Linked DNA regions of Lonchura striata. The protein of the gene in region 2 purifies or fractionates together with the protein of the main gene of each other region. This does not show direct contact. Links are inferred from orthologs where the notes say so. Each region holds a gene or a part of one and is shown on either strand. Other genes may lie near its edges. The genes, in order: DIMT1, HNRNPU, HNRNPA2B1 and HNRNPA0.

Evidence for each region.
Region 1: the proteins of HNRNPU (region 2) and DIMT1 purify together in Homo sapiens (affinity purification with mass spectrometry; 3 studies listed by BioGRID and IntAct, with this or other methods). This does not show direct contact. The link is inferred for Lonchura striata from reciprocal best matches to the Homo sapiens genes HNRNPU and DIMT1.
Region 3: the proteins of HNRNPU (region 2) and HNRNPA2B1 purify together in Homo sapiens (affinity purification with mass spectrometry; 4 studies listed by BioGRID and IntAct, with this or other methods). This does not show direct contact. The link is inferred for Lonchura striata from reciprocal best matches to the Homo sapiens genes HNRNPU and HNRNPA2B1.
Region 4: the proteins of HNRNPU (region 2) and HNRNPA0 purify together in Homo sapiens (affinity purification with mass spectrometry; 3 studies listed by BioGRID and IntAct, with this or other methods). This does not show direct contact. The link is inferred for Lonchura striata from reciprocal best matches to the Homo sapiens genes HNRNPU and HNRNPA0.

The regions. Positions count from the first base shown.
Region 1 is NC_134642.1:29,175,625-29,183,873, forward strand, and holds the start of DIMT1 (dimethyladenosine transferase), read left to right. Parts: upstream 1-5,099; 5' UTR 5,100-5,195; coding exon 5,196-5,429; intron 5,430-5,721; coding exon 5,722-5,808; intron 5,809-6,182; coding exon 6,183-6,244; intron 6,245-6,355; coding exon 6,356-6,449; intron 6,450-6,550; coding exon 6,551-6,600; intron 6,601-7,406; coding exon 7,407-7,530; intron 7,531-7,641; coding exon 7,642-7,734; intron 7,735-8,249. UniProt on the Homo sapiens protein: Specifically dimethylates two adjacent adenosines in the loop of a conserved hairpin near the 3'-end of 18S rRNA in the 40S particle.
Region 2 is NC_134605.1:31,754,242-31,761,855, forward strand, and holds the start of HNRNPU (heterogeneous nuclear ribonucleoprotein U), read right to left. Parts: upstream 3,002-7,614; 5' UTR 2,764-3,001; coding exon 2,031-2,763; intron 1,216-2,030; coding exon 1,104-1,215; intron 984-1,103; coding exon 910-983; intron 1-909. UniProt on the Homo sapiens protein: DNA- and RNA-binding protein involved in several cellular processes such as nuclear chromatin organization, telomere-length regulation, transcription, mRNA alternative splicing and stability, Xist-mediated transcriptional silencing and mitotic cell progression.
Region 3 is NC_134603.1:123,909,325-123,916,742, reverse strand, and holds the start of HNRNPA2B1 (heterogeneous nuclear ribonucleoproteins A2/B1), read right to left. Parts: upstream 3,323-7,418; 5' UTR 3,134-3,322; coding exon 3,104-3,133; intron 2,019-3,103; exon of another isoform or gene 1,698-2,018; coding exon of another isoform or gene 1,686-1,697; intron 1-1,685. Other genes in the region: CBX3 (chromobox protein homolog 3), read left to right, coding at 6,985-7,026. UniProt on the Homo sapiens protein: Heterogeneous nuclear ribonucleoprotein (hnRNP) that associates with nascent pre-mRNAs, packaging them into hnRNP particles.
Region 4 is NC_134617.1:7,823,338-7,831,343, reverse strand, and holds the start of HNRNPA0 (heterogeneous nuclear ribonucleoprotein A0), read right to left. Parts: upstream 3,105-8,006; 5' UTR 2,780-3,104; coding exon 1,847-2,779; 3' UTR 1-1,846. UniProt on the Homo sapiens protein: mRNA-binding component of ribonucleosomes. Specifically binds AU-rich element (ARE)-containing mRNAs. Involved in post-transcriptional regulation of cytokines mRNAs.

The DNA.
Region 1 (8,249 bases), on a different chromosome or scaffold from region 2:
AAGACAATTGACTCAGGAAAGGCACCAGCTCCTCTTAGTGGGATCTGCTCAAAATACAGTTTTAATTACTGCCATGTACAAATGCACACGTGAAAGTTATTCCTGCAGACAGACACAGCTGCACCTTGGGAGTTTAAACCCAGATTTCTCCAATCTTAGTTTGTTGTGATAACCTCACACTGCCCTCATTCTTTTTCAACTGATGAACCAGGGCTCTTCAGACCCTAATTTATACAGAGGATATACGGATATACTTAACCCCACAGAACTGCAAAGGCTGTGAATATTGGCTCTAATAGTATGAGACAGAGACAATCCTCACCTCTGACATATCTGACTTCACCTGTTGCACGGGAAAGGCAAAAGGGACATAGGTTACCCCACAGATTGGTTAAATCACAGGGACAAGGACTTTCTCCATAGTTTATGGGACTTCTACAGCTTTACTCACTATTGAGCTATACCTACAAGACTGTCCTAGAGATGAAACTCAGAAGGTATTAAATAGCTATTGTCTTTTGGGTACTTTCAGAGACATGAGCACCTATGGAAATTTTGGCAGAGTCTATCAAACTTATAAGCAACACATTCTTAGAAGGAAGTCAAGGTCTGCCTTTCTGTCACAGCAGCCAGAATTTCCAGGTTTGATTACTTGAGTAAAAGCGTTATTTCTATTTTTACTTACTAGCATCAGTCTGTGTCTTCACAATAAACACTGAGCAGTATCAGGTATGTTTGTTGTCTTCTGCTTTTCTGTGGTCTACACCCATTGCTATAACAACCAGATTGCACACAAACATTTTGGAAGAAGGAAAAGAAATTCCTTTCACTAGAAAGTGTTAAATGTGGTCAGCTGCAAACCCAAGCATGACTCTTACTGCCATGCCTGAATTTTGTCTTGCAAAAGGGAAAAGAGACTATCCATATCCCACATGAAAAAGATGCTCTCCAAGATCCCACTGGATATAACACTATTGAACTTGACAATAGCCTATCCTCAAGTCTCAGCTGGCAGGAAAAAAACCAAGCAGTTACACCTAGAATAAAAAACAAAACATCAAATCCTACCCCTTAGCATAATGAGTGTCTTCAGAGATCACAAATACCAGTAACAGTTCCTCATCATTATAATCTAATGTCCTATACTTCCATTCTCACTTTTAGACACCTTAATCTCCTTTAAGAGGCAAAGTCTTACTCCTCTTCTATTCTTTACTCTTTAATTCCCTTTCTGAGGAGGTATCTGCAAACACATTTTACCTTTCAAGACTATTCCAAGTGTTCGAATTTTATACTAGCCATGCCAGTTTAATGTTTTTCCTTAACAGGCTTCTCATACGACAAAAAGGTATCTAGGTACTTTTCCCCTCACATTAAAATACATCCTAATTTTAAAATCACATCAGCTATAAAAAGAAATTGGTAACTGCTAAACATCTGAAGAGGTACAAAACAAAGGATTTCATCACTAAACACCTCCCTACTTCACTTTTTCTGAGGAATGCAGTGTAACAGCTCACTAACATCCAGACAATTAATTCTGTGTATTTTTGTTCTCTTTCGTAAAGAATTCAATTTTTTCCTAGTATAAGAACGTGCAAGAACAGATTCAGTCAAGATTTCACAAAATCAGAAGAAGAAAAAGCCATAAACACATTGCACAAAATACAGTGTGCTCTCACGGATCATAGTGCAAATACATTCTGGGCTACTTCAAGAGCACAAGTGGCTCTGTGGATGTTGTTATCCTTCTTTACCCAGTGTCTGAGACGGCTTCTAGGACCCTGCTTCCAGCTTGGTTCTCTCCTCAGCTCAACAGGCAACAAACCGGAGAGAGGCCAGAGCTACTAGGATAGTCTGTGGTCTAAAGCAAATTATCTATGAGGAGGTAATGCTTAATGTTGTTTATGACCGTGGAACCTGAGGAAGACTTTGCAGACACCTAAACTAATTCCCTGCAGAGTGCTTACAAAGAGGACTTGCTGCTTCTTATCAGCAGATTATACAACTAATGAAAAACTATAAAGCTACATCCTGCAGTTCAGAAGGTTCAAGTAGGAAACTGTGACTTTTACAGCACATTTGTTTCAAGGAAAAGACGAAAAACAACGTTTCCATGCTGAAAGGCCACAAGAACTCCTGAAATAACTAACGAATTCTGGCATTCAGTCACACAGATATGATACATTAGCAAAGACACTGTCACCTTCAGGAAAAGTTGGTTTTACACTGGTTTCTCTCCAGCCTTCTACAAACTCCTCCATTAATCTCTTTTCTAGCATTGCAGGATCTGCATCAATTATGCCACATGCTCATAATCCTACTAAGGACTGGACCCAACAGAACTAAAACTATCCTGGTTATTGAAGGTACTACTTAAACTCATTAGTAACTACAGCAATCACCAAATCCAACACAATGACTAATGTTAAACATTCCTAATTTTTTTCAAAACCTACATATTAATTTTTTATTTATGTAATTAAAGCAAGCTATCTAAAGTTTGCCCAATTTAAGCCACAGTAAAGAAGGCAAAAATGTCTGAGCAGGAAAGAGTCAGAGATGTTTTCTTCCCATGCTGCTAACAACAGAAATACAGGAGTGGAATTTACAAGATTTCATTTTTACAAAAATTTAATACTGAAACTAAAAGCTAGGTCTGAAAAAAGCATGAAAAAGACACGAAGGATAAATAAATTAAAAACAGTGAGGACCATAGTAACAAAGGATAGCAACAAGTAAGGCTGACAACAATGTTACAGAAGGTCAATCAAAATTTATCAAAAATTCTGAGAAGAATGAACTCTGATATTAGACAGTAACCACCAAAGTGACCAAAAATTCCTAACAGAAAAAACAGGGAGTAAAGAAATGACTGAGACAATTCTGAGGATTAACTCAAAAATGACTGTCACAGGTTTCAGTACTGATGACATAGGAAAAGACAAATTGATACAGAGACAATGTAAGAATATTTTTGAAGTTTAATCGTAAGTTTCTAGGATGAGCAATAGTACAAGGTCAATCATATTCCTTTGACTTCTTCCTAATTTACCTAATTTAATGGATTTTCAAAAAGACCTGACAGACCACTTAAGAACAAACTAGTGCCAAACAGCTGAGATGGAAATGCCTGTTTCAGTCAGCCCTCATGTTCTGGAACAGGTTTCATTTTAACTACAGTTAACTCCCACTTCTGATGATAACATTTCAAAATGTTATACAGAAAGCATGGGTGACAAAAACCTTCCTTTTATCATTTATGGACATGACAGTAAATGTCCTTGATGAGAACAGTACGCTGAAAGAATGAGAGAAGAAAAACAGAGAGCAGTGACAAATTTGGTGCTGCCATGAAGTTTGATGAAACCAAACTCCATAAGGAACATGTGTTTTACAAAAATTCAGGTATAACTTGTATACTATGAATATAATTTGAATTTGGCAGTGTTTTACTGATGTGCTCTTTGGGCTAATTTAAAAGCCATGTCAGATATGTCACAGACATGACTTCATGTATGAGACATGGGAAGCAAAGCACATGGGAGCATAAGTGGGAAGCAGCCATCACCATTGCACTTAGGGTCTTGTTCTTGTATTTTACACACACTGCTGTCTTCTATGGTAACAAATTGGAGAAGTAACTCACCACTGCTGCACTGAGCCTGCCTCTGATTAAGGGAAGATTCTGCTCTGCAGAAAAACTGCTGTTCTTCAGCCTGCAGGAAGAAAACAACCACCTGGAATGAAGGCCACTACGCACCCCTTCCCGCAAAAAACAAGTTCTCTCAGGTTAATGCCTCATTATCCTCCCATGCTTTCCATGAATTCCAGCCTGACTAAAAACTGTTTCAAGAAGAAAGCGGGAAACCGTTCCCTGGAATTAGGTAACAGCTATTTACTTCCAGCTCCGAGCAGGCCCTTTGCCGTGGCCAGTACCATAGGTAAAAGAGGCCTAGCTGCCTTAATGCCGGTACCGTGGCGGTCAATCCACGCCGGAGTCCCGCCGGCTCGGGCACTGCAGACGGGGGCACAGCCGGCGGAGCAGCAGCCGGAGCGAGTGCGTAGGAGCAGCGCCGCCCGCAGCGACACAGCCGCGGGGCTCCGCGCCCCGAGCGCGGTCCCGCTGGAAGCCGCCGGCGCCTTCCCCCCTCACCGCGTCCCGCCCGGCCTCCCACGAACCGGGACCAGCGCGCGCCGCCGCGGCACCACCGCCTCCCGGCGCGCGGCACTGACGTCACTGCCCCGCGCCGCCCGCGCCGCCGCCAGCTGCGGGGCGGGGCAGGGCCTCGCCTGCGTGGTGCTCGCGCCAGAACGTAACGCTGAGGATGTGTATGAGAACGTAAATTAAAAAAATTCAGACAGGATTAAAAAAAGGAATACACTTTATTGGCGTGGCAGCTGCTGGGAATGACTGCACCGGCACTGCTCCGGCCGTGAGCGGATGGGCGCTTTGCGCAGAGACGGGGTTAAAGCGCCGCGTTATCTTATCGGCAGAAACTGATGAGGGTCGCCCTGAAAAATCCAGCCTTCCCTTCCCTTCCCTTCCCTTCCCTTCCCTTCCCTTCCCTTCCCTTCCCTTCCCTTCCCTTCCCTTCCCTTCCCTTCCCTTCCCTTCCCTTCCCCCCTTTTTTTTCTTCCTCTCTTTTCTCTCTCTGCCCCTCTTTCATTCATCTCTCATTTTCTCTTTCCCTTTCCACCCTACCGTTTTAATCGAAAACCCACTGCCCTGTGCTTACGGACTAGGTCGGGGTACTGGACACACCCACTTTTAGGCCGCGTGTCATTTACCAATAAACCCTGGGAAGCTTTTGTGGACCCGCTGACACTGTCCCTTGGGACTCGGGGCTGCTCCGTCCCCCGAGGGTGGGAGGCCCGAGGCCGCGCTCGTGCGGTCCGCCGGCGCGCCAGGGGGCGCTGCCCGCCGCCGGCCGCGCGCGGGGCCGCCGCCAGCTCCGGTGCCGCGCGGCACGTGCGGCCGAGCGGGGCCGAGCCGGGCCGAGCCGAGCTGAGCTGAGACGGGCCGGGCCGGGCTGAGACGGGCCGGGCCGAGCCGAGCCGAGCTGAGACGGGCCGGGCCGGGCCGAGCCGAGCTGAGACGGGCCGAGCCGGGCTGAGCCGAGCCGAGCTGAGACGGGCCGGGCCGAGCCGAGCCGAGCTGAGACGGGCCGGGCCGGGCCGAGCTGACTGCTGCCATGCCCAAGGCGCGGGCCGGGAAGCGGCCCCAGCGCCGGGAAGGCGGCGCCGGCGGTGAGTGCGGAGCGGAGCGGGCCGGCAGGATCCCGGGAGCCCGCGCCGAGCGGGGGCCTGTGGGGAGCGCGGCTGCTCACGGTAACACGCCCGTCTCTTCCCCAGGCATCCTGTTCAACACCGGGGCCGGGCAGCACATCCTGAAGAACCCTCTCGTGGTGAACAGCATCATCGATAAGGTGGGAGCCGGGCCGTGCCGCCTGCTGCGGGCGGGGTGCCTGCGTGTTGGCGCTGCTCCGGACGTGGCTGCTCGCCGGCTGTTCACGCGTGGCCAGCGAGGCGCCATAAATCGGTGCCACGGCATTCTGGTTCTCCCCGTTTCCCACTCGTTACTTTCTAAACGACTCTCACGCTCCCTTGATACCCAGTTCCAACTTATTACTGTGTCAAAAGCGCTTACTTTAATTTTAAAGTCAAATGATTGCACGAAATTGGTTCTACGGAAGCACTCAAAATGCTGTTTGTCCTTAGGCTGCCCTGCGCCGAACAGATGTCATTCTGGAAGTGGGCCCGGGAACTGGAAACCTGACAGTAAAGATGCTGGAGAAGGTCAAAAAAGTAAGTACAAATTCTCTTTCATACACCCCTTTCCCAAGCTCTGACTGTGCTTTGGCTTAGAGTATGGCAAATAGAAGGGTCTTCATAGGCATGATGAACATACGTAGAATTACTCCACTGATACTTTTCTTAACATATGAATAGTCCCGATGGGTTTTTAGCTGATCACATAAATTTTGTGTGGTTTTGTCAAACTACAGTGCTATAATCCATTTATGTGGTAAAGCTTCCTTGTATTTGAGAGGGAGGAAGGTACATAGCCTAACATTGGAAGGATTCTTTGAACCCATAACAACAGATACAGGGCTGGGATTTTTACAATTAAATTCCAGTTAGGAGATGCATGGAGTTTTAAATATATAATTTTTTTTTAGGTTATTGCTTGTGAAATTGACCCTAGACTTGTTGGTGAGCTTCAGAAGAGAGTCCAGGGCACGTAAGTATCAATTATGGGAAACAGGAAGCACTAAAGCAGTGGTGCTGCTTTGGTACAAATTTTGGCAACAGTGCTTATCTGAGTATAACCACAATGTATCTTTTCCCCCAGGTGTCTAGCAAACAAACTTGAAATCAAGGTTGGTGACATCTTGAAAACAGATTTACCATTCTTTGATGCATGTGTCGCTAACTTGCCTTACCAGGTATGGGACAAGCAACATAGCAGGCAACACCATAAACAAAATTACTTTTAAATGCTCATTTCCCAGAAATTATACTAACATTATTAATTTTTTTTTCTCAGATTTCTTCACCTTTTGTTTTCAAGTTATTGCTTCATAGACCCTTTTTCAGGTATGTGGAAGAATAGAGCTCTGTGTTACCTGAGAGGAAAGAAAATAGTTTTAAAAATGTTTTCAAATCCAGTATTTTTTTAGTTCCTGAGGTACAAGTGTGATGGACCAGAGCTGTACCAATTTTTTTCTGTAATACATAGTCTAACAGTGCCTGGAAATTAAGTTTATGTTGATATATTGAGCATGAGGAGAAAATTTAAAGTTGGCAACAGTGAGTGCCCAGCAGATAAAAACAGGAGTTACATCTCCTTAGTATTACAACTAAGTATTATTCCAAGGATAAGCAGGGCATAATAGCATTTCAAATACCTTCCTGGCTAAGGGTGAAAGGGTAGAATCAATGCCAAATCACTTTCTTGTTGTCTGATGTAAAAATGTAACCATCTTGTCTGTGTGTCAGACATCAGTATGTCAGCAGCTCTTGATTTCTCTCAGAGGAACATTGGTAACATTACCGGTCAGTTTTTGGAAAGCTTGGGTTTGAAGGACTCAGCAGAGAGTTACTCAAAATTATTTATTACAGTCAGGCAACTCTGAGACTAGATAGTCTCTTTGATCCTGATCCATCTAGCAGTAAATAATCAAATTATGTAACAGCTTTAAGGAGACTTGGATGGCTTCACCAAGTTTTGTGATGGGTTTTGGGTTTTTTTTCAACATGCTAATCAAGGCAAAGTTGTTTATTACGAACATTTACTCTTCTAATTGCTGAGGCAAACTGTATGTTTTCCAAGTGTGTTCATTTGGCTTCTGACATAAAAATGGAACACTTAGAATTGATTTTCTCATTTCTGTTACTCTCAGGTGTGCAATCCTTATGTTTCAAAGGGAATTTGCACTTCGTTTGGTTGCAAAACCAGGAAGCAAACTGTACTGCAGACTCTCTATTAATACTCAGTTATTAGCTCGAGTGGACCATCTGATGAAGGTAGGTCACTGCCTTTAGGTAACTCAGCTATGAAACACAGAAGAGTGTTGCAAGGGATGTGAGGAGTTTGCTGCTTATTCACACAGCTGCTTGACTGCTCTTAACTAACAGGTTGGAAAGAACAACTTCAAGCCTCCTCCCAAAGTCGAATCCAGTGTTGTCAGAATAGAGCCAAAGAACCCACCACCACCTATCAACTTCCAGGTGAGCAGTGTATACTCAACGTAACGTTAGTGATAATTTCATATTTCTTCCCAGTTACTATTCAGTTCTATGTGCTGATTCTAGTACAAACTACCAGCTATTTATTCATTGGAGCTTCCAAAATGGCTTTTCCTCTCTTGATCAGGCTTGTTAGACCATTAACACAACATGCCACCACCAGCTGGGGGCAGCTTTGTCAAGTACAGTATCTCTTATAAGACTAAGATCAGCTGGAGAACTGCTAGTAGTAATGTCCCTTTGGTCATGGTTTATGGCTCCCAGAGATGTTTCTGGCTGATAATTTTGCAGGTTTTGATCAGAGAAATATATGAGATTTATCTTCAGGTGAGTGTGTTTAATCACCGAAGACAAATGTTACAGAAGAGTATTCTTAATTCTTAAAACACTTCAAGACCATTTCAGCCTTGCCCAAGGTTAGCCAGATTTTCTTCGTGTCTGCCTTCTCTGCATGTAATAGCACTTTAGGCATGAAAAAGAACAATTCAAAGGATTTT
Region 2 (7,614 bases):
TATCCGGCAATTTACGTGACTGTAAAGTAATACCGCCTTCCATTTCAAACCATTTATTGTGGAATAAAACCACCTGAAACTTCTAAGAAGTATGCCAGACAATGCCAAAAGTTAAGCTTCCCTTCCATGGCACTGTAAGAATCCAACGAGTTCAAGCATTACTTCAAGATCAAGTTTTCTAATATTGCACTGAGTCCTTATACTTACCCTCAAGAATACAAATGTCAACTCTGCCATAATAATGTTACAGTAATAATGTTTATAATCTGCCTCAAAAACAACCCTGTTTGCAGATAGTTCTCCATTTATATGCTCTGTAGACTAAGTCTCTCTGCCATCCCACTTGCACAAACCACCACGCAAAGCCACACATTCACACGTTACATGAATGGCTCATTTCTGAGGAAGCATTACTAGATTTTGTTAAATTGATCAGAAGACAGAAGAAACACTCCACTAGTCAGTATCTAAATAAGGGAATGTATGCAGGAAGCTCACTTCCCAAACTGTGCTTTGTAAACACTTATGCTACTCTCTGAGCTTTCTGGGCAACAGTGCTGGACAGCTGTTTCATCAACCTGTCTCCAGAGTGTTCTATGTGCACTCTACACTTACTCACCTAAACTTCCATACCAGATTAGTGTTTTGGTTAAGATTTCTTCACAGAACTGTCTATCACTACAGAATTGAAAGAAAACCAAGTTTATTACTGCTAACATACTCAGGTCCTTCTGTTGTTTTCTTTGCTGAAAATGGGTGGAAACAGAGTATTTTTCTAATTTTTTTAAAAAAGTTACCTGGTAATGAAAATCAACAAATGTTATCCTCCCCGTCTCAGAAAGCGTGGCATTAAGAGTAAAAGCCTCAACACCACATCTTTCCAGGGTAAAGGAAAGCATGTTTACTCACAAGTATCAAGACAAACCACTGTGTCATCAAAATGTTCATCTTCTTCTTCAACAGGTGGTTGAGGAGACTTGGCCCTGAAAAAACAAAACCAAACAAAACAGAATAAGTTACACGTATTTTCACTAAGCTAAAATAACATTTCTGTACTCTATGCCTCCTCATCACAAAATGTGCCCAGTACCAATTCTGTTTACCTGCTGTACTTGTTTTCCTCAATGTATTCAAAGTATCCCCGGCCATGGTCTTCACGTGGTCTCTTCACTCCCCTCTTCTTCTCACCAGGCTTTTGCTCTGTTTTACCATCTCCTAGAACAGAAGCAATGATTTATTTTGATTAGTTTAATTTGGATTAGAATCTATATCATGGCTTCAACTTTGCAAGCTGCAGCAAGCTACAGCATAAGATAAGCAGTAACATCTTAAAAGGGCATTTTACTATGTTACTAAGGTAAAGCCCTGTATGTTGAATTTTCACGGGAAGACTCAAAACTTGTCGCCAATCAGAAATTATTTAGCATACGGAAGTCGCCAATACACCACACAGCAGCGAGTACGGCCCTCAATGTTATGAGCCCCATTGAAACAGCCCCGAAAAAAAAAAAAAAAAAAAGAAATCCCCACCAAAATGATTAAAAAAAACCAAAAAAATCTCCTGAGCCACCGCGCCTCCAGACCCGCAACACCATCACCACCCGCCCACCACGGAGGCAGCGGGTCACTGCCAGCCTCTCGCAAGGGCACCGTGCGATCCGCACGACTGCGCCTCCTCCCGGCGGGCCGCGGGCGGCAGCCCCAGGGAAGGGATTCCTCCTCCCGCCTCCATTGTACCGCCAGGCCTTCCCAGCGCCATCCCGAGCGGCGGCGGCGCCCAGCCCGGAAGTGACGTCAGGCGCCCCGCGCTGCGGGCGCACAATGCACAGCGCGCCCCAGCGGCCCCTCCGCCGCCCCTCCTCCCCGCCCCTCCCCCGCCGGGCCAGCACGAGGCGCGGGGCCGCCAACGTCCTCCCGCGCGCGCCCCGGAAACCGCCGCCCCCAACCCCCCCCGGCCCAACAACCCCCGTCATGGCGGGGGGATGGGATTAATGGCCCCCACCCCGCTTCCCGCCGCCTCGCTCACTCACCCCCGACGCCCTGCGCCCCGGGGCGGCCGCCTCCGCCGCCGCCTTCCGCTTTCTTCTGCTGCTGCTGCTGCTTGGCGGGGCCCGCCGGGCCAGAGGCAGCGGCGGGCCCCGAGGCGCCCCCAGCGCTCTTGCCGGGAGCCTCCTTGGCGGCAGCGGCGCCGCGCGGCGGGAGGAGCGGAGGGGGCTGCTGCGGCTGCTGGGGCTGCGGCGGCTGCTGGTCACCGTGGCCGTTGGCGTCCCCGGCCGCGGCCTCCTCCTCGTCGGCCAACTCGTCCTCCCCCTCTTGAAAACCCTGGTCGTCGCCGTTCTCATCATCCTCCTCCTCTTCCTCCTCCTCCTCGCCGCCCGCCTCCTCCTCCATGGGGCCGCCCCCGGCCCCTGCCCGCTCGCCGTTCTCCTCGCCCAACTCCATGGCGTCGCCATCGGCGGCCTCCAGCCCTTCCTCGTCGTCGTCCTCCATGGCGGAGGCCGCGGCCTGGCCGGGGCCCCCCCCCTGGCGGAGCTGCGCGGCGCCCCCGCCGCTCTCGGCCGCCTCCCCCTCCACGCTGCCGTTGCCGGGCTCGGCCGCGCCGCTGGCGGGGCCGCCCCCGCCGGCCTCCTCCTGATCTAGCGCGGCCTGGAGCCGCTCCATGAGCTCAGCCTTGAGGCCCTTGTCGGAGAGGCGCCGCTTTTTCAGCTCCTCTTTCAGCTCCGACACCTTCAGCTTCTTTACGTTCACGGGAGAGCAGCTCATGGCGGCGGCAGCAGTGGCGGCTCGGTCCCTGGGCGGCGCGCGGGCGGCGGCGAGCAGGGACAGACGGGCGGCTCTGGCTCTGCCTGCGGTGTGTCGGTGCCCCGGCGGGCGGTGGGTGCGGGCGGGAGGCGCGGGGGGTTCGTGCGGCTGCGGGAGCTGCGGAGCCGGACCCGCCTGGCGCCAAATCCTTTCACCGCGAGCTCGCGAGGGAGACGCGCCTCACGGGGCCGCGCACGCACCGGCGCCGCGCGCGCCGTCCCGCCCCCGCGCACGTAGGCCCTCCCGCGCTACCGTAACGACCGCATTACCGTAAATACCGCCCGAGCGCTGCATGCCCCGCCGCCCTTGTCCCGGCGGGTCCCTTGGCGGTGGCGGATCGGCTGTAACACCGCTCCGGCACGATGAACCCGCTCCGGGCTGAGAACCACCCCCGTGCCGGCTCCCGCCCGCGTGAGGCCACAGCCCGACCGAAATGCCCCCCACGAGGGGCCCGCGTTCCAGCCACAGCCTCGCAGAGCCTTGTCCCGATTCCGCTGGCTCCCCTGCGCCCTGGTCGGGCCTAGTCTCGCACGGTTTATTGCTTACAGGCTTTAAAAAGGGACACTGCTGCTCCAAATAGTTCCCCTGGCACAGGCCTGCTACAGCAGTTACATAAGGGCAGGAGCGGGGCTACCCCGTGCCCGCAGCACCGGGAGGCAGGCGCGGGGCTGAGCCGTGACCGGAGCCGGCGGTAACAAAGGCATGAACTAATCTGGAGCTCGGCACAGGGCTAATCTGCTCACCAAAACTGCGCAGCTTTCCCTCTTTTCTCCCCCCTGCCTCTCCCTCTGCACAGCGTTCATATGGGGCTCTCCACAGCCGCTCACGTTGTACAGTCGTTTAATTTTGGATTTTTCCAATTCGCTCAAAAGTAACATGAAAACAAAGAGTGGAGAGGATTTCATACAAACAGAATGGTAGCACGGATCTGCAAGTCGGCTTCCTTAGGGAACCCGGATAAAAAGCTAATTTTCAATTGCAGGAAAAGGAATACAAGTCAAATCACCAGAGGATCAGTATGAAGAGCAACAAAAGGGAGTGTGTTTACCACGAATTTGCCTTGTGTTGGTACAGATTGCGTGGCCTCCTGAACCAGAGCAAATTACGTTTACCTGCCCCAGAAGAAGGGAGGAGAGTCAAGGAAGTCATCCTGTTTTAAGTGTGCAAGGAAAGGGTGCTTTCACACACTGTCCACTCACACCGCTCTGTCCTCAGTCAGTCTATAGCTACGTGGAGACAACTCGGTCAGCAAGGTTAGCAGAACACAGCACTACACAATAGCTTGTTGGAAGAGATTCAGGAAGAGGTGCAATATGTACAGATGAGAAAAAAGTTAGTTACCAGAATCTTCCCCTTATTTTAAGGTCAAGTTAGTAGATTTTATTTCAGTCCAGTAAGCCAGAGTCACCTCAATAGCAGAAGAAAAGACTAAGAGTACATCAATGCAAAGGAGAGATCAGTCTGTGATTAAGCTGTACCACTCTAAATCATTGCCTTTGTCCATTTCTTCATAAAAGAACAATCTTAGCTAGTCTGCTGAAGGAGTCCTAATGTATACTGTTCTGCCAAAGTGACAACAAAATTAAACTACTTAATATTGCAAGGTTACTGTCTGAAACTTACAGATAATTCTGCATTAATTTGGATGTCATTTAAACAGAAAATACATCAATAACTCCTTATGAATTGTATTATCTGAACCCTAGACAGAGCCCTATGTTTAGACCCTGATCTTGCACAGGGCTTTTCACATGTTGAGTCATCTTCCTGGAAGAGTTTAATCAACCCGATGTCTGATAATGCCTCCCACCACTGCAAACTTTATGGATTGATAGATTCTTTTAGGCCAGCTATGTATCCCTAAGCCTTGCCTTAATGAGCACATTTGCACATATTGACAGTGCCTCTGTACTAGAAAATATCCTCAATCAGAATCACCTGAGAGCAGCAGTCATTACATGTAGTCCCACTCCTAAACAACGTCATGTCTCCCTGCTTCAGTAACATGCTCATACTGTTTTATACTCCTGTTACCATGGAGAAACAAAACAACTAACAGCTTTGAGGCACATGGAGAGATTCCTTACCCTAAAGCATCGAAGCCTGTATATAAAGGCACAAGTAGATAAAGTAAAAATAATTTCTCCTCCCCTCCTCCCTTTCAAATTTAGCACTATTAACTTGATGCATTTTTTACAAGTTACTACAGCTGTCTATTTATTAAACCACTTAGAAGGATAAGTTTATTATTTTTAAAGGAGATTAACTCATAACATCACATTAAGGGTAATGCTTACTATCTAACCACTCACTTAATTACACTACCAAACAGGTATAGCAAGACTTTTCAGACTACAGTTATGTTACCTGTTATTGCAGAAGTGAGGTATCCCAGTTGATTTTCAGATGTCAGGTGATTCAATTGTAAGTAATAAATAAATAGTTGTAAATAATCATTAAGCTAAGTAAATAAAACACACACATAACTGAAACAGATGTGTAACTTTAATGACTGCCTCTCAGTGTTAAAAAAAAAAAGTTTTTTCCATATGTAAGTTAAATAACATATTCGGTCCCTGGGAAAAATCTCTCAAAATACTCCCCTGTCCTCTTTGAGTCCTGTGTTTCAAGAGTTTGCCTTTCCCTTATTTATACTTTGAAGGAGAAAAATAAGTTCAGGATGTATGCTCTCCTCATTGCCATACCCTCTCTTAGGTCAGATACTGAGTGGATACTTCAACTCTGCCTTTCACAGAATATGCAGATAGATAGATGCCAGCCATATCAAAAATGAGTGTTTGGTAATGCAACCTCCTGAAACAGGATAGCACTAAAGAAAAGCACTTTAAGCTTTAATGTGCAAAGCTGCTACTTGTATAGTGATGGCCATATGAAAAACAAAAATTGCTAGTAACCACAATATTTCTCTATTAAAATGGCTTTTTTTGGTCTCAAAATATATTGAAAAATAAGCTTTCTTTCCATTTAAATGAAAAGTGACATGCCTCCATGTATAAAAGATACAACCCTATGCACTTTTTATCAATCATATAGTATTTTTCTCCTACCTGTGTTACTTCCTAAGCTAAACTGTTTTCCTCTCCAAACCAGTCTTCCCTCTCAAAAGTAATTTCCAGATCCTCTGGGACTTGGCTCTTCAACAGATCAGTTACTCTGGTTTCCCTGATTTTTGTTTGTTTTCCTTTAGACTTCAATTAGTTGCTCTACTCACCTATAATGTCCTTTCCATTATTCACCCTTAGTCCTTCCAAATCTCTCTCCTCTTTTTGTTTACCAAGAGCAGTGACAAAGAGGTAACATAAAGAAGAGCAAGCTTTAAGGAGGGCATTGAACTACCAGAAGAGTTCAATCCCACCTGGGCTTTGAACCTTTCCACACATCTTCAGTGCTGCAGGAGAGCCCGGGCATTTGTGTTTCCCTGTTCTACTCTCTTAGAGCCTTGTCTGTCCTGTTCTGGCTCCTCTTGTTGTGCTTTACCCTACATCTGACCATCACAGTATGTTGCTCGTCTCTTCTGCATGTCCTTAATCCATCTACCCTCAATTAATATTGCCTTCAGATTTCCACATTCAACACACCATTACTTTAAAAGAGAATATCATTATTGAAATACTCTGATGCCTTTTATGATAGCAGGCAGTATGTGGAGCGAGTCTTTTTCTTTCTCCCTTTTCATACTCATTAATCATTACTAGACCCAATGAGAAATTTTCAGGCATTTTTAAAATGCTGATTTGTATCAAGTGAGGTTGCATGACTAATGGGCAGGTCTGATGATTTCTTAGCCCCTATTTATTTATTTCCATAGGAGGGTCTAAGGATCTGTCTGCCAGGAGGCCAGGAGTTTGTTTTTGAGAAATAGCACTGTGCTCCTCTTTCTTTTTTCCTGACGTGTACTACTGCTCACCATCAGAGTCAGGATGCTGAACTAGATTGACCTTGCCTTGTACTATCTATAATCTCTCCATGATATTTCAATATCAAAGGAGTTCAGTTCATCTCAGAAATCAGGTGGTCATATGCCAAAATAAGGCCTATTAATTGCACAGTAACCAGATTAGTTAGGTCTGAAAGCATCCTCAGGACCTAAGGGGTGGTTAGTGTCTAATTACAAGTAGATCTGCCAGGGTTCGAGGGACTTAAATTCAGCTTTCTGGCACTGGTTTGGTTAGCTAGTTCTCCTCAGAAGCATCTTTGTCTTACGACACTCTCTGCCGTAGCACTCTTTGGGCCCCCAGGTGAGCTGTCACTTGTCAGTAAACAAGTCCTTTTTAAGAGACTAATGCTATTTAGATTTTCCTGTATGCTGGATGATGTAGTTGAGAAATCTCACCAAGCAGAAGGAAGCACTACAAAGCTACACTGAGACAGAACATATCAGCCACAACCTGTGTTTGTCAACCTCACTGACCCCATACCAAAAAGAATCCCCCTTTTCCCATTTCCAAGGAGTAAATTTTTTGCTTAACAAAAAATCCAAAACCCAAGCCCATGAGTTTCTGAGAAACAGTTTCTCACTTCAGAGCATTCAATGACTCACAGTTTTTAAACCTGGCCTTGGGAAAAAAGGTTGCATTCTCCAACATTAAAACCAGGATTCATTTTGGCTTTATTCAGAGCCATACAGAAGTTTATTTACTACACGTCTCAAGTCCTATATATGAACTAATTAATAAGAAAATACTTAACTCCACAAATCAGACATCTGTAGTTCCTGGAGATTTTTTTGTAGCTTGCCACATGTACACAATCACTGGAGTGGAGCTGTGAACTCTGGAAATTTAGATAGAC
Region 3 (7,418 bases), on a different chromosome or scaffold from region 2:
GTTTTTTTTGTAGATCTATGAAATCTATTACCACCCATTTAATAAAGGACATTATTATAAAAATATGAGAATTAAGTAAGTTTAGTAGACAGGCAGGATTTTTTCCAGTGTTATTGTTACCCCCTGAAAACAGCTACAAACCTGCAAACAGAACTCAAGAAACAATTGTAAAATTATAAAATATACAATAACAATTATAAAAATATACTACATATAACTAACAGACATTAAACAGAATAGTAATGCATTTTACAGATGTATTTAGGGTCATGATCTACCCAGAACATCTAAGCACCACACGTCAGAAAACAGCAATAACGAAATTAATTACCAGTTCTTTAATGAAAACCACTGTGCGAAAACAGCACACACGCTGCTCCACTAACACGAAATCTCTAGATGCAGATAAACTATCTGTCTCAAATGAGCCAGTCTGAAGAAGCTCTGGTTGGCCTAACACTAACCTACCAAAGTCCAGAGAGTTCTGCACATCTAAAGTTTGTGCTGAAGGTATAAAATGTACAATAACTATCATCATGCCAGTGTCTCATAGAGTCCTAAGGAAAATACTCTTTTGCTACAGACAGACACCTCATACCTAGGAAAGGCCACAATATAAAAGCTGGAGGTTAACACCTCTTTCAAGATTTCCACAGTATGGCCCGTGGCAGGAACAAAGCACTAAGGGAAATTTCTACCTCTGTAGGATCTTCATGCGTGTGTATTTTAAGCTTTACTCCACAGTCTTAAAGCAACTTGAAAGCACTGAAAAACGCATAGCCTTTACTAAAAAATTAATCACCAGAGAAAGGAAAGGTGTTTCACATAGCTGTAACGTGCGCAGACACAATCCACGCTGACAGCGGAATTAAGAACTCGGGTAACAGCAATGTTTACCGGAGACGAGCGAGGGGGAATCCCTGAACTCCAGAGCTCCGCAACCCCTCAGCGGCAGCTCGCTCGCCGCCTGTGGCGGCCGGGACGCAGCGGCCGCGCCGGCTCCACCATGTGGCGGCAGCGGGAACACCGCGGCCCCGAGCCGGGCGGGGAAAATGGCGCCCGGGAGCAGCCGCCGCCTCCAGGGACAGCGCTGCGAATTGCTGCCAGCGTACACCTACACACACGGTACTAAGGCCTCTCCAGCGCTCCTTCTCGCCCCCGTGCATACCAGACGACTACAGCTGACGCCCGCCTTGCCCACTCTGCCGGAGGGATCCCCAGTGCCTCTCGCAGACGCGAGTCCCAGCCAGGCCGCCATTTTACCCCTCCCCCTCGCCACCGCCATTACCCGCAGCGCCGCTCGGCCGCTCCGCGCCTCGGGGGGCCAAGACGGCCCCCCCAGCCCGCGGGGCTCAGACTCCCCCCGCTCCTCCGACACCTCAGCAGCAGCGCAGCTAATAGCCATGGCCACGGGCTCAAGAACGCGCTGTCCGCCATGCGCGGTTACCGCAGCTTCCGCCGCCTCGCCCGGCTGTGCGCCAGCCCCAGTCGCCGCTTCCAAAACCTTCCTCTGCGCAAAGACATCCAGCATCCGCCCCGCGCTGCGACCGGCGGCAGCGCCTGGACTTGTGCGGACGACTCAAGCTTGCTTGTAATTCTGAGTCCCGAAAAAATTCACTCTGTCTACACAAGCAAACGCGTCTCCCTCCTTAAAAGCAAGGTCTAAATCCACCCATTCCACGTACCATGTTCTTCATGGTTTATGTATTCCCGCTCGAGAGTACCGTACAACTGGTCGGTAATGGCTGCCTGAGCTGTTACGTAATTTGAAATTCAGCTCCGCGTAGTGTTAGCGCCCTCGTACTCCAGCTCGGGCTCGCTTCCGAGGTTTAATTAATTAAAAAAAAAAAAAAAAAAGAAAAAAAAAAAGAAAAAAAAAACTACAGGATCTGGAGCTTAAATATCTCCAAAGGGGCTGCAATTCTGAATAATGCCCCTACGTGTTTTTATCGTGTAATGAAAGTCATCGACTCCGTTAGTAATGGCCGTCTCCGAAATGAGCCGAAGGAGCTGTCGTCGTCGAGCTTATCCGCTTCGACAGCCGCCGGAAAAAGCCGAACCAGGAATGGAAGCCCATTCGACTCGCTTCGGTAATTTCCGGAATCTGCCGCAGCACGCGAAAATGGCGCTCGGGGCCAGCTCGGCAATTTCCGGACAGAAAGACGCAGCAAGTCACCGACTACTTCAGCCAACTCGGCAGTTTCTGACCATCGACAGGCTCGCGAGACGTGCCCGAGCGCAGCCGTAGCGGCCTCGAACGCTACTGGCACTCAATTTTGTTTGGTTTTTTTTATGGAAATTGACAAAAGGCCCCGAAGGCACAAACCTCGGCGTTATTATTAGTCGGGGGCGGCAGCGCATCGCTCCCCGAAACCTCGCCCTGGCCCCCTTCCTCCTCCGCCCAGGCAGGAGGAAGTGAAAGTTACACAGATTTTGGCACAAGTGCGATATATCGCGGGGCCCCGGCGGAGGGAGGCGGACTTCGCCGCAGCTCGCTCCGCTCTAGCCCGCACCATCGGCATCGGGCGTGCTGCCCGCTCCGCCGCGCTGTCCTCTTCTTCTCCTTCATCCCCTCCTTTTTTCCCTCTCCGGCGGCCCTACGCGCACCGCGACAAAGGGTGAGTGCTGCCGCCCCGCGCGCCAAAGAAATGGCGCTGGAGCAGCTCCTTTCTTCCCGCCCCCTCTGCTCCCCCTCCCTTTCAGCTTCACCGCGGATCCACCCGCAGCTCTCCTGGCTGCAGTGAAGGCTCCCCAGCCGACTCCCCCGACCCCTTTTCCCACTTATGAATGAGTTCTCGGGCCCCAGAGCCCCGCAGCTTCCCGAGCCCCCTTCCCTCCCCCCGCCCTTGCTCACACCCAGGCCTCCCCGCCGCAACGCGGGAAATGGCCGCCCTCCAAAGGGGGCCCCTCCAAACGAGCTTCAAACCTACGCCAGCGCTCCTCGCCTGCCCTCCCCACGCCCGGGGCCCGCCCGGCCGCCCCGATCGAGGGCCTCGCTCCGCGGCGGCGGGCAGCATCGGCCCGAAGCGCATTCGCTGCGGCCGCCATGATGGCGGCCGTGGCTCTCGGGGTCCGCCAACCCCGCCCGCTCCCCCAGGCTTACCCAGTCGCTTTCCCTGTCGCCGCGAGGCATCTTCCTTCTTTTGGACGCCTGGCGCGGTCCTGCGCTCGCCCCGCGTTGGAGAGACGTCTTGGCCCCCCTCCTGTGCCGGCGGCGACGACGGTCGGAGGTTGTAGCGGCTCGCGCGTAGGCGGCGGCGGCGTCGTGCGCTCTGCCCCGTCACAGCCGCCGGCGCGCAGAGCTCGCCCGGCCCAGCCCAGCCCAGCCCGCCACCGCCGCGCCGCTCTCCGCCCTCCGCTCCCGCCCTCCCTCTCTCGCTCCCTCCCTGCCCCCACCCCCCGCCTCAGCCCCCCGCGGATGTCGCTGTTGCTGCTGCCGCCGCCGCTCAGTGCGCGCAGGGCGGGAGCCAGGAGGAGACAGGAGACCTAAGCGGCTGGGCACCATTGAAGTCTGTATCCTTCTCTCTCTCTCTCTCTCCCTCTTTTCTTTCGCTGCAGCCGCTTCCTTTCACCCCATTCACCCTCGAGTCCCTTTCCCTGACTCCCCTTTCCTCTGCGGCTCGCTGCGGGCCGCCGCGGGGAGATGCGGAGCGCAACCCGCCCGCCTCCCCCCACCGCCGCTTCTTCCCCACCCCCGCTTCCTTGGCGGTGGGGGGTGGCGGGCGGAGCGGAGCTGTCGGGGAATCGGGGCTTCGGCACCCGCTCGGGGAGGGAGGGAGGGAGGGAGGCAGGCCGGCGCCCGGGCACGCGGGCGCTGTCGCCCCAGGGGAAGGAGAGCAGTGCCGGGGGCGGGGGCAGCGGCACCCGCGCGGCAGACAAAGCCGGCCCGCCGGCGGTCCCTACGTGTGCTCGGCCCGGGGAAGACGTGAAGGGGCGGGGGGAAGATGGCGTGGAGGGGCCCTGTCAGCGGCGGCGGAAGCGGCCCAGGCCTGCGTCCCCGTTACCTCGCCCGGGGCAGCCCCGCCGGCCTCATGTGCGCCCGCCGCAGGCCCGAGGCGCAGCAGGCCTCCGCAGGGCTGCCTCTGGTTTGTGGCGGGGGGGATTGTTGCTATTGGGTTTTGGGTTTTTTTTTTTTTACCCCTTTCTGCTGCCTCTCCGGGGGACGCAAGGCAAGACCTTCGGCACTGGCGCCCTGGCCCCGGCCCTTTTCCCACCTCGCCTAACCCACCGCCCATGCGGCTGCCAAAATCCGCCTCCCGTGTCAGGGGAGGATTGGGCGGGATTGCTGAGTCCGGAAGGCTTTCTGGCCTTAAAGGACTTTTCTGCTTTACCCAGGCATATGGGGAATTCTAGCATTTCTATAGCTCGCTGCGGGGCGGTGACAATACATGCCTATGGAGCTGGTCGGTATGAGAAATGACATGGAAAAGGGGATGGATTGTGTTCAACCTAATTTGCATAGGTTAAATATGTAGTATGTACATCTTAGCTGAGTTAATATTGTTTTAGGACCTTAACTCTTGCCAACTTGAGAATCAGAAGGCAACATTATAGTTGCATTAAGAGAAATATTTGCTGTTTATAAGAATTTGCTACCATGTAAGAATAATGGGTGATTCATTGCACCACAAATATATATATCTTCCCCATCAGATATTTACAGTTAATATACCTTAGGTATGTCTTCAATTGCTAGAATTTGAGCTCTGTTTCTATTTGGTTTAAGGAAATGAGCATCCCTGATGGTCCTCCCCCTTTTCCCTAGAAACATGTCTATGCTTTTGAAGGCCTTGGGAAAAATTTTTTTCAACCCTATATACCACCTTGTCAGTATCATTTATCCTGGCTAGCCTAATGGTGCATTACTGGGTTATGCCGGACAAAGTAGTAACCTACTTTTTGTTCTGGATTTAATCCGTGTAAGAAATGTTGTATGCAGTGAATACATGGGGGTTGGAACAAGGACCATGCTTGTCTTGGGATGCCTTTCTTTGAGTAATGCAAACTTCCTTTTAATTGTCATGCATTTTTCTAGTAAAAGCTCTGCAAGTCTGCAATAAAAATGGCCTCCAATAAAACTACATTGGTAAGTTCATGCACACCTAAAGTATATAAGGATTTAATCAACATATTTTTCTTCAAACTTATAACTTGGCATCTCCATTTAAAAGATACATCCACATCTCCCCTCCCCAGCATTATTCTGACCAAATTTCAGATCCAGAAAGTAAGGCTACTAGAAAGGACATTGTCTTTGGTTTTAATAAATCTGCCATTTCTAAAGAGAAACGTGTTGAGAAAAAAGTATGAAAGGACTCTGCACTATTTCATCTATTCTACAATAGAAAATACTGAGGATTTTTTTTAGCCTCCTTTCAGCATACCATGTAATTCATCATACATGTAAAAAATAAAGTCTAAATCATGTATTCACTTAATTTCTCCCAGTGTATTTGGAGAAAAATATTTGCCTGACAAAAGGCAATCTTTACAGATGGAAAGTAACATTATTGAGAAATGATGTGGCATAATTAAGATGCCTTTTGAAATGCTTTTTAACAAATAACAGTTTCTTTGAATTTCATAGGAGCAGAGATTATCAGATGTCAACCCTTCCTGGACCATTTTAATGATGCATTCATGGATCTCAAGTCCTCTAAAGCTTTGCTTGACATTAAAATATGGACTTCCAATGGCAGTTGGTTGCTGGTTGCAGTTCAACTAATACTGATACATAGTTTCATGAAAGACAGACCTGTAGAAGTATATTGTGAGATGTATCTGAGATTGAGATGGGGAAGCAAGCCAAAATATATGTGCACAATTCAAAACTCCAGCAGCAGAACAGCTGGTTTATAATAGTCTCGAAAGGCCTGTTCTTAAATTTACAGAAATGTTTACTCAGTTCAAAATATATTCAAAACTTTTATTAACTCCTGGCTTAGAAGTGCAACGGAGTGCTTCCTCTGTGTTGTACTGGTTTAAAATATTTCACCGAGATGAATGTCTAAACTTTCTGTTAGTAATTGATTGTCCACTTATCCCTAATTTGAAGAAGAGAAGAAGTTAGCCAGCCTGGGAAAGGGTGCTTTGGAGAGAGGAAAAAAATCTTTTGAATGTGGTATTTTTAATCTTTTGATGTTATTGAGAATTTTGCTGTACAGGTCAGGAAAATCAGTTATGGTTCCCATGGGAACCATAACTAATTCTGCTTAGTTATATATTTGCATGCAAAACCTAAATATGTTAAGGGGTAGGGTAGCTCTAGAGCTGTAATTCCAATTTTCTTACATCTTGTATGTTAAAATTTTACACCACAGTGTCACATCAGTGTTTTAACCTTGCCCCTCAACGAAAGAGTGTTTATCCATAGATCTACATCTGTCATATGTGGTGTCATATGACTCCTGAATGCAGAAAGAGAAGCAAGCTATACATGAGCCTTCAATGGTCAAATGTCCAATTTACAGTTTACAATGTGCAGCCCTAGAGAGGAGAGCTTCAGGGGTCAAGTGGACATTTAGTATGCTTTAAGTTCAGTCAGGTGTCACAATTCACTTGTGGGCTGAGATTTGCATGGGCTTGTATAATCCCAGAATGTACAGGTTTTTAACATGTTCAGTATTTCTGCAGGCTCTGCAATCAAGTGTTATCCTAATAGGCTCAAGAGTTTGAAGAGCAGTGCTGATGCACAAGACCTAATAAATCTCTAACATTTAAAACAGAAGCAGCATACTTTTTATTTTGCTATTTCTTACTGCACTTCAAGAAAAAAATACAGACCCCCCCCCCCCATGATACTCATTTTCCTCTGTGGAAGATACTTAAGATACTTAAGTTTTAGAAAGTAAAAAAAAAATTGTTGCTTTGATACAGAAATCCAAAACATTGATCTTTAAGTGACAAGAATTAGTGAAGCCGAAAAGAGTACCAGAAAACAGTCTTCCATTGAATCAAAGAATTTTAGTCCAACGGAGAATACAGATGGAGATGTTCCCCACATGTAGCCTGCTTGCCTCATCACCAGTAATTATAATGTTATTACTATGGTATAGTGAGTCTGTCTTTTTCTGTGTTGTCGTTTTTCCCTCTGCTACTTTTATTGTTTGTTTATTTTCCTCATATCTACCCCTTTCTATTTCACACTTCCATTTTTTGAAAGAAGCTGCCCTCATAGAAGCCTTGGACATCTTCATGTTGTATTTCCCTTCAATATCAGTCTTGTATTCTTTTTCCTGTAGAGGCAAAAAAAGCCAATATGCTTAAGTTAACACTTTTCAGACATGAATGCTGTGGTCAAAATACACCTGGGATATGCAGGCACTTAAAATCTAATTGGAAATACATGCTCTGTTCTCTCTTCTATGCTGTCAAATCAAAAACATGATGGCCATGTGAGATATATACAGAAACTTGCT
Region 4 (8,006 bases), on a different chromosome or scaffold from region 2:
CCAAGCCCTACACATTTAATTTTTCAGTGTAATCAGTGGGAATTATATGCCTAATATCTTGCATATCTGGAGGAAAGCAAAAAGCAGCTTTTATGATGCAGTCCCACAAAACATCAGCATTCCAAGAGCTTAGAAACCTGAAGTCAAAATAACTTTGTACTTTTTAAATGCATGCCCCACATCATATATACTCTCACTCAAGCATATAAGGAATTCAAATCTTTTATTTGATATCCATAAACCCATAAACGTTGCTAATCTATATTTCTATGCAGGAAGGCAGTTTTCCCCTAAAACATTATGCTTTTTAATAAACAACAAACTTTAATTCTATTGCGTGAAAGGGCTACAAATATACATTTTTTAAATCAAGCAGACTACACAGATATCTTTGCTTTACAACTGGCACCTATGTTACTTGTACACTTGCTGGCTCACTTCTCAGAGCTCTTTGCCCAGTTTAGATCACCACTTTCTGAAATATGGTCAACTGCAATTATTATTTGTTAAATTACGTGCTGAGGCAGGTATTGCAAATCCATTCCTTTTTCCACCCCCACCCAATCAGTAGTCAGGGACCCCATCTTTATTCACGTGCAGATGTCACTGTATTCTACACCAGTCATCTAGTGGCATAAAAATAACTTTCCAAAGGTTGGTACAATTGTCAGCAAGCCAGTTTTACTCCTGCTTTAAGGAAGCCCACAGCACGGGGCTGCCATCCTGACAGCAGATGGAGCTGCCAGAGTTCTCAGGGAACTTTCAGGAAGAACAATAGTTCCGAGTGAAATCTGTTAACCCGGGGCTAGGAAAACAAGTATGCCTTTAATAGAAGGGATAAATGTCGACCCTTTCCTGGAAGGAATCACACAGAGACAAACCAAGGACTTGAAAACTAAGCAATAAGAAATTCTGAACATTTTATATGAATGAAGCACATGCTTAACACAAACTATTTCTTCAAAACTACACAATACATACGTTGATGGAAAAGTCCTACAGAAAAAACTGACCAACCATGTCAGCACGTCAAACTGTCTAGTACAAGATGGTGGATGCACACAAACTGCCAAAGTGAGAACGAGTATTTAAAAAACAGAACACATCCACGGATTAGTACTTCAAAAATTTCTCTGTCGAGTGTTTGAAAGCCACTAGCAAAAAAGTCAGTTAGGACCTTTACTGGCAACAAAATATTTACTACTCTAAGTACACTGAGATTTTAAAGCAGAGGAACACTTGCTTCAAACCTAGAAAAGCCTTAAAACCGTGCGGAATTGATCCTAGGAAAAAGAATTAGACGTATAAAGGTCAATGAACACAATGATTTATTTAAAAAATAAAAAACGTAAAAACCATTTTTTCCTCCTTTACAGAAATGTTAAAAGTCAGTCATGGGATCCGAGTAGCTTTTGTAGAAAAAAACGTAGTATCCAGGCATCGAGTCCTTACAACAAAGGAACTTCCCCCCAGCCTCCCCGGTTTTTACTCCAGATCAGCAAGACACTTCCCACCCCGCACCCCCCAAAAAACAAATTAAAACAAGACATTTTTCGTTGCTAGTATAAAAACGACCAAGGTCCAAGTAATAATAAAAAAATAGAGTCCATCAATGACTGTAACACAAAATATGTGTATGTGGGGCCCAGTCCATCTTCAGAGAGAAAGAAGTGGCACAGGCAGCAGAGGCGACCCTCAGGGGGCATTTAGGAGCCGCTCCCACGGAAGGGAGGCATTTAAAAGGAGCTGCCCTTCGGCGAATGAGGGGAGAAACCATTTAGAAGCTGCCCCGTATCGAAGGGAGGGCTCTCCACGCCCCCCCATCAATGGGTATGAGCGCTCCAGCTCAGAAAGAGCCGCCCCCGTAGCCTCCCCCACCATAGCCTCCTCTGTACGGTCCACTGTTACTGCGGCCCCCCCAGCTGCCGCCCCCTCCTCCACCTCCTCCGCCGCTCTTCATGGGGCCGTAGGAGGACTGGTGCTGGCTGTAGCTGCCGAACCCGCCGTACCCGTTGCCGTAGTCTCCGCCTCCCCCTCCGCCGCCGCCTCCGTAGGAACCGCTGCCATAGGAGCCGTACCCGCCGCCTCCTCCCCCGCCGTAGCCGCCGTAGCTGTTGTAGCCGCCGCCTCCTTTGGAAAGCCCGTTGTGATCCCGGTTGCCGGAGCCGCCGCCGCCCCGGCCCCTTCCTCCTCTGCCTCCCCGGGAGGGCCTGGAAGAGCCGCCGCCCCCCCCGCCCGCCTGGATGTCCTCCTTGGGCACGGCCTTCTTGACCTCCACTCGGTGGCCCTGGATCGGGTGGAACTTGACCACGGCCGCCTTATCGGCCGCGTCGTGGTTCTGGAAGTAGACGAAACCGAAGCCGCGCTTTTTCCCGCTCTGTTTGTCGGCGATGATCTCGGCCTTCTCCACGGGGCCGAACTGGCTGAAGTGCTGCACCAGGTCCCCTTCGCCCACGTCCCCTTTGAGGCCGCCCACGAAGAGCTTCTTCACCTTGGCGTGAGCGCCGGGCTTGGCCGAGTCCTCCCGGGACACGGCCCGCTTCAGCTCCACCGCATTCCCGTCCACCGCGTGGGGCGACGCGGCCATGGCGGCGTCCGCCTCCTCCACCGCCGAGTAGGTGACGAAGCCGAAGCACCGGGAGCGCTTGGTCTGCGGGTTGAGCACGACCACGCAGTCGGTGAGGGTGCCGTAGGCCGCGAAGTGCTCCCGCAGCCCGGCCTCCGTGGTCTGCACGTTCAGCCCGCCGATGAACAGCTTGCACAGCTGCGAGTTCTCCATGCTGCCTCCGGTGCCGCGCCTGGGCCTGGCGCCGAAACTCCTCCTCCTGTTCGGGGGCAGCTCCGGAGGTTTTTTCCCCCCCTGCTCCGTCTTGCCGCTTCTTTCCCCTGCGAGCAACGCGACCTCTTCGCGGCTGCGGCGGCCGCCGGCGGTAGCTCGCTCGGCGCGGCCCGGCGCCTCCGCTCCGCCTCACCTGACCGGCAGCACAGTCGGGGCGTCCCCGGTGCCGCCGCTGCCCCGGGAAGGCGGGCGGGGGTGGGCGCGAACACAGGCGCGCACAAAATGGCGGCAGCGGCTTCTCGGGAGCGCGGCCGGCGACTGGTGCCCACACAAAGGGGCCGCCGGGAGCCCCGCCCCCCGGGCCGGCCTCCGCCGCCGCCGCAGCCAATGAGAGCGACGCGCCGGCGGCGCCCGCCACTCACGCCTAAGGGGCGTGGCTTAGGCCGCGATGGACGTGTGCGGCAACCAATGAAAGGGCGCGACCTCCGCAAAAGTCCCGAGGTTCGCCGGGGACGGACGCGGCGGGCAGCCAATAGGAACGCGGGACGCGTTCGGCGCGCGCCGGGCGGAGGGGCGGGGCAGTACGTCAATGCGCCGGGCCCGCGGCCGGCAGCCAATGGGACGCCGCCCGCGTCCCGGCGCGCGCTCCCTCTCCGTTGGCCCCGCCCCTCGGGGGGCGGGGCGCGCGGGAGCGTTTGAACGGCGGGGACCGTTGGGCGCGCGGGGCTCGGGCCGCCCTCAGAGCGCGGCCCCGGCCCCGGGACGGGAGAGCCCCGGCGAGCCACACCCCGCATCCCGGCCTGCCAGCACTCTGCGCTCTAAAGTTCTCCCTCGCGTTCACGTGGAACTCGCCGTGCTTCTGTTTGTGCCGTTGCCTCGCGCTCCCGTGAAGCGGAGCCCGGCCCGCCCCTTGGCCGCGCCCCGTGGGTACGGACGCTGCCGGCGGCACCCGGCGGGCACGGCCCGGCTGCGGCCCTGGGCTCGGCCCTCGCCCGCCCTCCGCTCCCCGCAGCGATGGCGCTTCCCTCCTTCGTGCCGCCTTCGCCTTGGTAACCGCTCCCAGCGCACGGGATGCGAGGAGCGGCCTCCGGGTGTGACAGAGAAGGTTTAGTTGGATATCAGGGAAGAATTCTTCACCGAAAGCAAGCTGCCAGGTGGAGTCGCATCTCTGGAGGGTTTAAAAGACAGCGCGGATGTCGCGCTTGGGGTCACGGTTCAGCGGTGGCTTTGGCAGTGCCGCAGGAAGGGTTCGAGTCGATCATCTTGAAGGGCTTGTCCAACTTACACATTTTTGTGATTCCTTCTCACTATTCCTGCTACTGTTTCCTCCCCTGCTTTCTCTTTCCAACCCTATCACAGCCTACGCACCCTTAGATCTCTCCTTAGCTCTGAAAATGAGGTATTTTCTCAGCGAAATTATTAGAGCTGTTCAAGAGTGTGCAAGCCCTGTGGAATGACAAATAGTGAGACAATTTTCCTTTTTTTTCCCCTCTTACTTTGATAGTGCATTAAACATTGCTGTCATGAAGACTGCAGCATTACTTTCAACTTAAGTGAATTTTTCATTAGAAAGATTCTTTTTTTGGTCTTACAGTCACTAGGGTTTATGTTAAAATTAAGCGGGAGCTAAGAATGACTGTTGTTCTGCATTAGGCACTGTCAGGATGTAGTTCCACAGTTCCCTGAACTGATCCTGCCTTTTCCCATGTGCCAACCTTGATGCTTCTGCAAACACACAGCATCCACATAAGAGAACTGAGACAGTCATAAATGGTTTTATCATGACAAAGGAACTGGTTTTCAGCTGCCTCAGCTTTCTGAAACATTTTTTGCATGATCTGCTGGTGCTGGCAGGAGGGAGGAAGCAGAACTGCAGCATCCCCCTGATGATGATCAATTGGAAATGCTCCCTTGGAGACACAGACACAAGAAGAACACTGACCGTGCTGGAAGGTTGGTTAACCACAGCCCCAGAGGAACTCCAGAGAGGCTGAACATGCTTTTGTCTCACAGGCTATGATCCTCATTAACCTGTAGCATTGATACTTGCAGTACAGTAATCTGATTTTACTCAGATTGGATTTTTTTATGCTATAGCCAAGTCTATAGTAAGAGTAACTTATTAAATAACTATGTTTGACAATCACAAGGAAAGTTGTCATGGCTTTAGATCCATTTATCTCAATGCATGAACTGACACCATCACTTTATATAGTTTAAGAAAAAGAATATCCCATAATGCCACTGAAATATCTCTGGTTTTAAAATAAACAAACATATCCTACTGTATTAAATAAAAATCTTCCCAGAGGCTGTCTGCAAGCTGCACATAAATTACAGGAAATACAAAACTATTTTGCCTACTAGTTATTGTAAGATCTGTATGGCCCTTCACAAGATAAATTAGTATGTGTCATGTGGAAAATAATCCATGGGAGTTTTGTAGACCTATAGTAATTTAGAGCAAAAAGGATGAAAAATTAAGATGAGCTAATTATGACCTCAACAGATAACAAATCAAAGTTTGTTTACACCACACTTTCTCTCCCTGAAAGCCAGACAAGTAAGCCAAGGAACAGATCAAAGAAAAAAGCTGCAGCTTGCATCACGAGGAGATGAGGGTCCTTAAGGTGTGAATAAATCAGTAGGAAAAATCAGCCACTGACTCAATTCAGGTGTAGCCCAAATTCTTCCTCTTCATTTACACTTCTAGCTGGTTGATTAATGAAAGGAAAACACCTTTAAGACACACATACCCATGTCATGCAGGTGGAAATGTCTCCTCTGAAAATGCACAAAGGCCAAACTGCACTTGGCCCGGTGTCCCCACCTTTCCCAGCTGCTGGAGTGAGCTCGTGTTGTTCATTCACACCTCCGCTCAAAGCCTGCTCTGAGTTCAGTCCCTGCCCTGGCAGGGCTGAGAGCCTGCACACGTCCATGTGCCCTGACACAGCCCCGGGCTCTGGGATGCACATCAGCTTCTCCTGCACACATCCATGTGCCCTGACACAGCCCCAGGCTCTGGGATGCACATCAGCTTCTCCTGCACACATCCTTGTGCCCTGGCACATCCCCGGGCTCTGGGATGCACATCAGCTTCTCCTGCACACGTCCATGTGCCCTGACACAGCCCCGGGCTCTGGGATGCACATCAGCTTCTCCTGCACACGTCCATGTGCCCTGACACAGCCCCAGGCTCTGGGATGCACATCAGCTTCTCCTGCAGCCCCCAGAGACCTTCCTTCCTCCCAGGTCATCCTCGGAGGCTCCAACCGGACCTCTCCAGTCACTGTTGGATTCACGCCTGCTGAGGCACCAGTCACCCGAGCTGTGCAGCAAATCACTTGGCACACACATTCCCAGGAAAGGTGCCTTTCTCTGCTCCTGAAATGAGCTTTTCCTTCAAGCTACATGAGCCAACGAGACACAGGTGCTGCCACAGTGTGAGTGCAGAACCAAAGATGAGTCTCCCGTGTGTGAGATGTAAACCAGAAACACTCCAGCTGCCACAGCAGCTTCCCCACAGAATTTTTAAACTGCTTCTTCCTGTAAACTAGTAAATGCATAATACCATCCTATGGATATAAAAATTCTTAGGAAAGTATAATGCAATAGGAATACACACTTTTCACTTTCCAACAAGGCAATTGCAGCATGACATTTTTTTCAGCTCTACTAGCAACCTATAGAATAAAAAAAAAATCAGCAGCCAAAGTTTCTAAAGTTAGGTGCTTTTTCAGCTCCACCTGTATCATTACCAAAAGAAGATGTGTTTCTCAAATCAGACACATTAGCCAAATAATGCCAATTAAATCAAATATCTTAATGGGACATTTTAATTAGTGCGTTAGGAAGAAGGAAAACCAAATCATGTTCATGCATACACCTTTCTGGTTATTCAGAAGAAATCGTTCTAGCCAGAGTCCACAGGAGGGCATTGCTGCTTAAGAGATTGAAAACCAGAAGTCTGAGCAGTCCCTTTCCAACACGACTTCCTGTGTTACCATATATTCTTAGTAAAAGCTGATGCAAAATAAACTATTAAGGAATTTTTTATATCCATTTTGTCATTCAAGAAACATAACTTTGTCATGCTATTTAATGGGTCCAAACTGCCAAGACTGAAAATTAATAATTAAGTTTTGGAAAAGAGCATGAAGGGCAATGGAAAAACATCATGAATTCAGAAGTAGTTATTAAGTTATAAATGTTTTATCTAAACCCTCATATAAACACAAAGTCATATCTTTTTAACTAGTTTCAACATCTTTAGTTACATCTGTGGCTTCCACTCTTGGCAGGCATCGATTATTTTCTTAAGCAATTTATGTACATCACAATTTTTAATGAGTTTAAGTATTTTTTTGTATAGTACAATGCTCTAGACTTAGATTTAGTTTGACCTTTCAGCAGACAGAAAGCATTTTGAAATTTCATGCGGACTGCTGAATTCTGCATTCACATTGAAAATTGTAATAACATCACCTTAGCTACACACACATTTCACCCAGATTTTTCTAACTGTGAATAGATGGGAACAGTTGGGAATACAAGGGATCCAACTATAATTTCCCACATCACTCTGAGATACACACAGAAGCAAAGATTTTTATTTACATCCTTTCAATGAGATATTATTAGACTTTTGGAAGGCTCAGTCCTACCCAAATCAACACCTCAGGCAGAGTGTAATTGTGTGGTTCATAGGGAGCATGTTGTGTAAAAAAACAGCAGCACCACAAGCATTCCCAGCCTGGCACCTTGCTTTAGTTACAGGTGCAAAAACTTCTGAAAAGGGTACAGCTGTCCTTGAGAGATCTCCTGCTTTTTTGGCCAAAGTTTCTCTTTCACTCTGTTCTGCTGTTTGCACTTTCATCTGCATAAACCTCAAACCTGTGATCTTACTTAGGAGACTTTCATGAACTAGTACTGATCAGGAGAGGGTTTTTTGTTGAAAAAGATTTAAAAATAGTGAGAGGCAACTAGATAGACTTTTACCTCCCTAAAGTCTGAACATAATACTCCTCAGGATAAAAATCTCTACCTTGTGTAAATTCAGATGGGGAATAAAACACGACCCCTCTCTTGTATTTGCTTAATGCAAAAGAAGATAACCTATAGATAAAAAGGTAACAGAATAACCCACAGGTACTATTTCTTCAGTAAGTAGTATCAAAGTTTATCTGTTAAACAAAATCTTCCCTGGGCCCCTTCTAAGGGGAGTTTG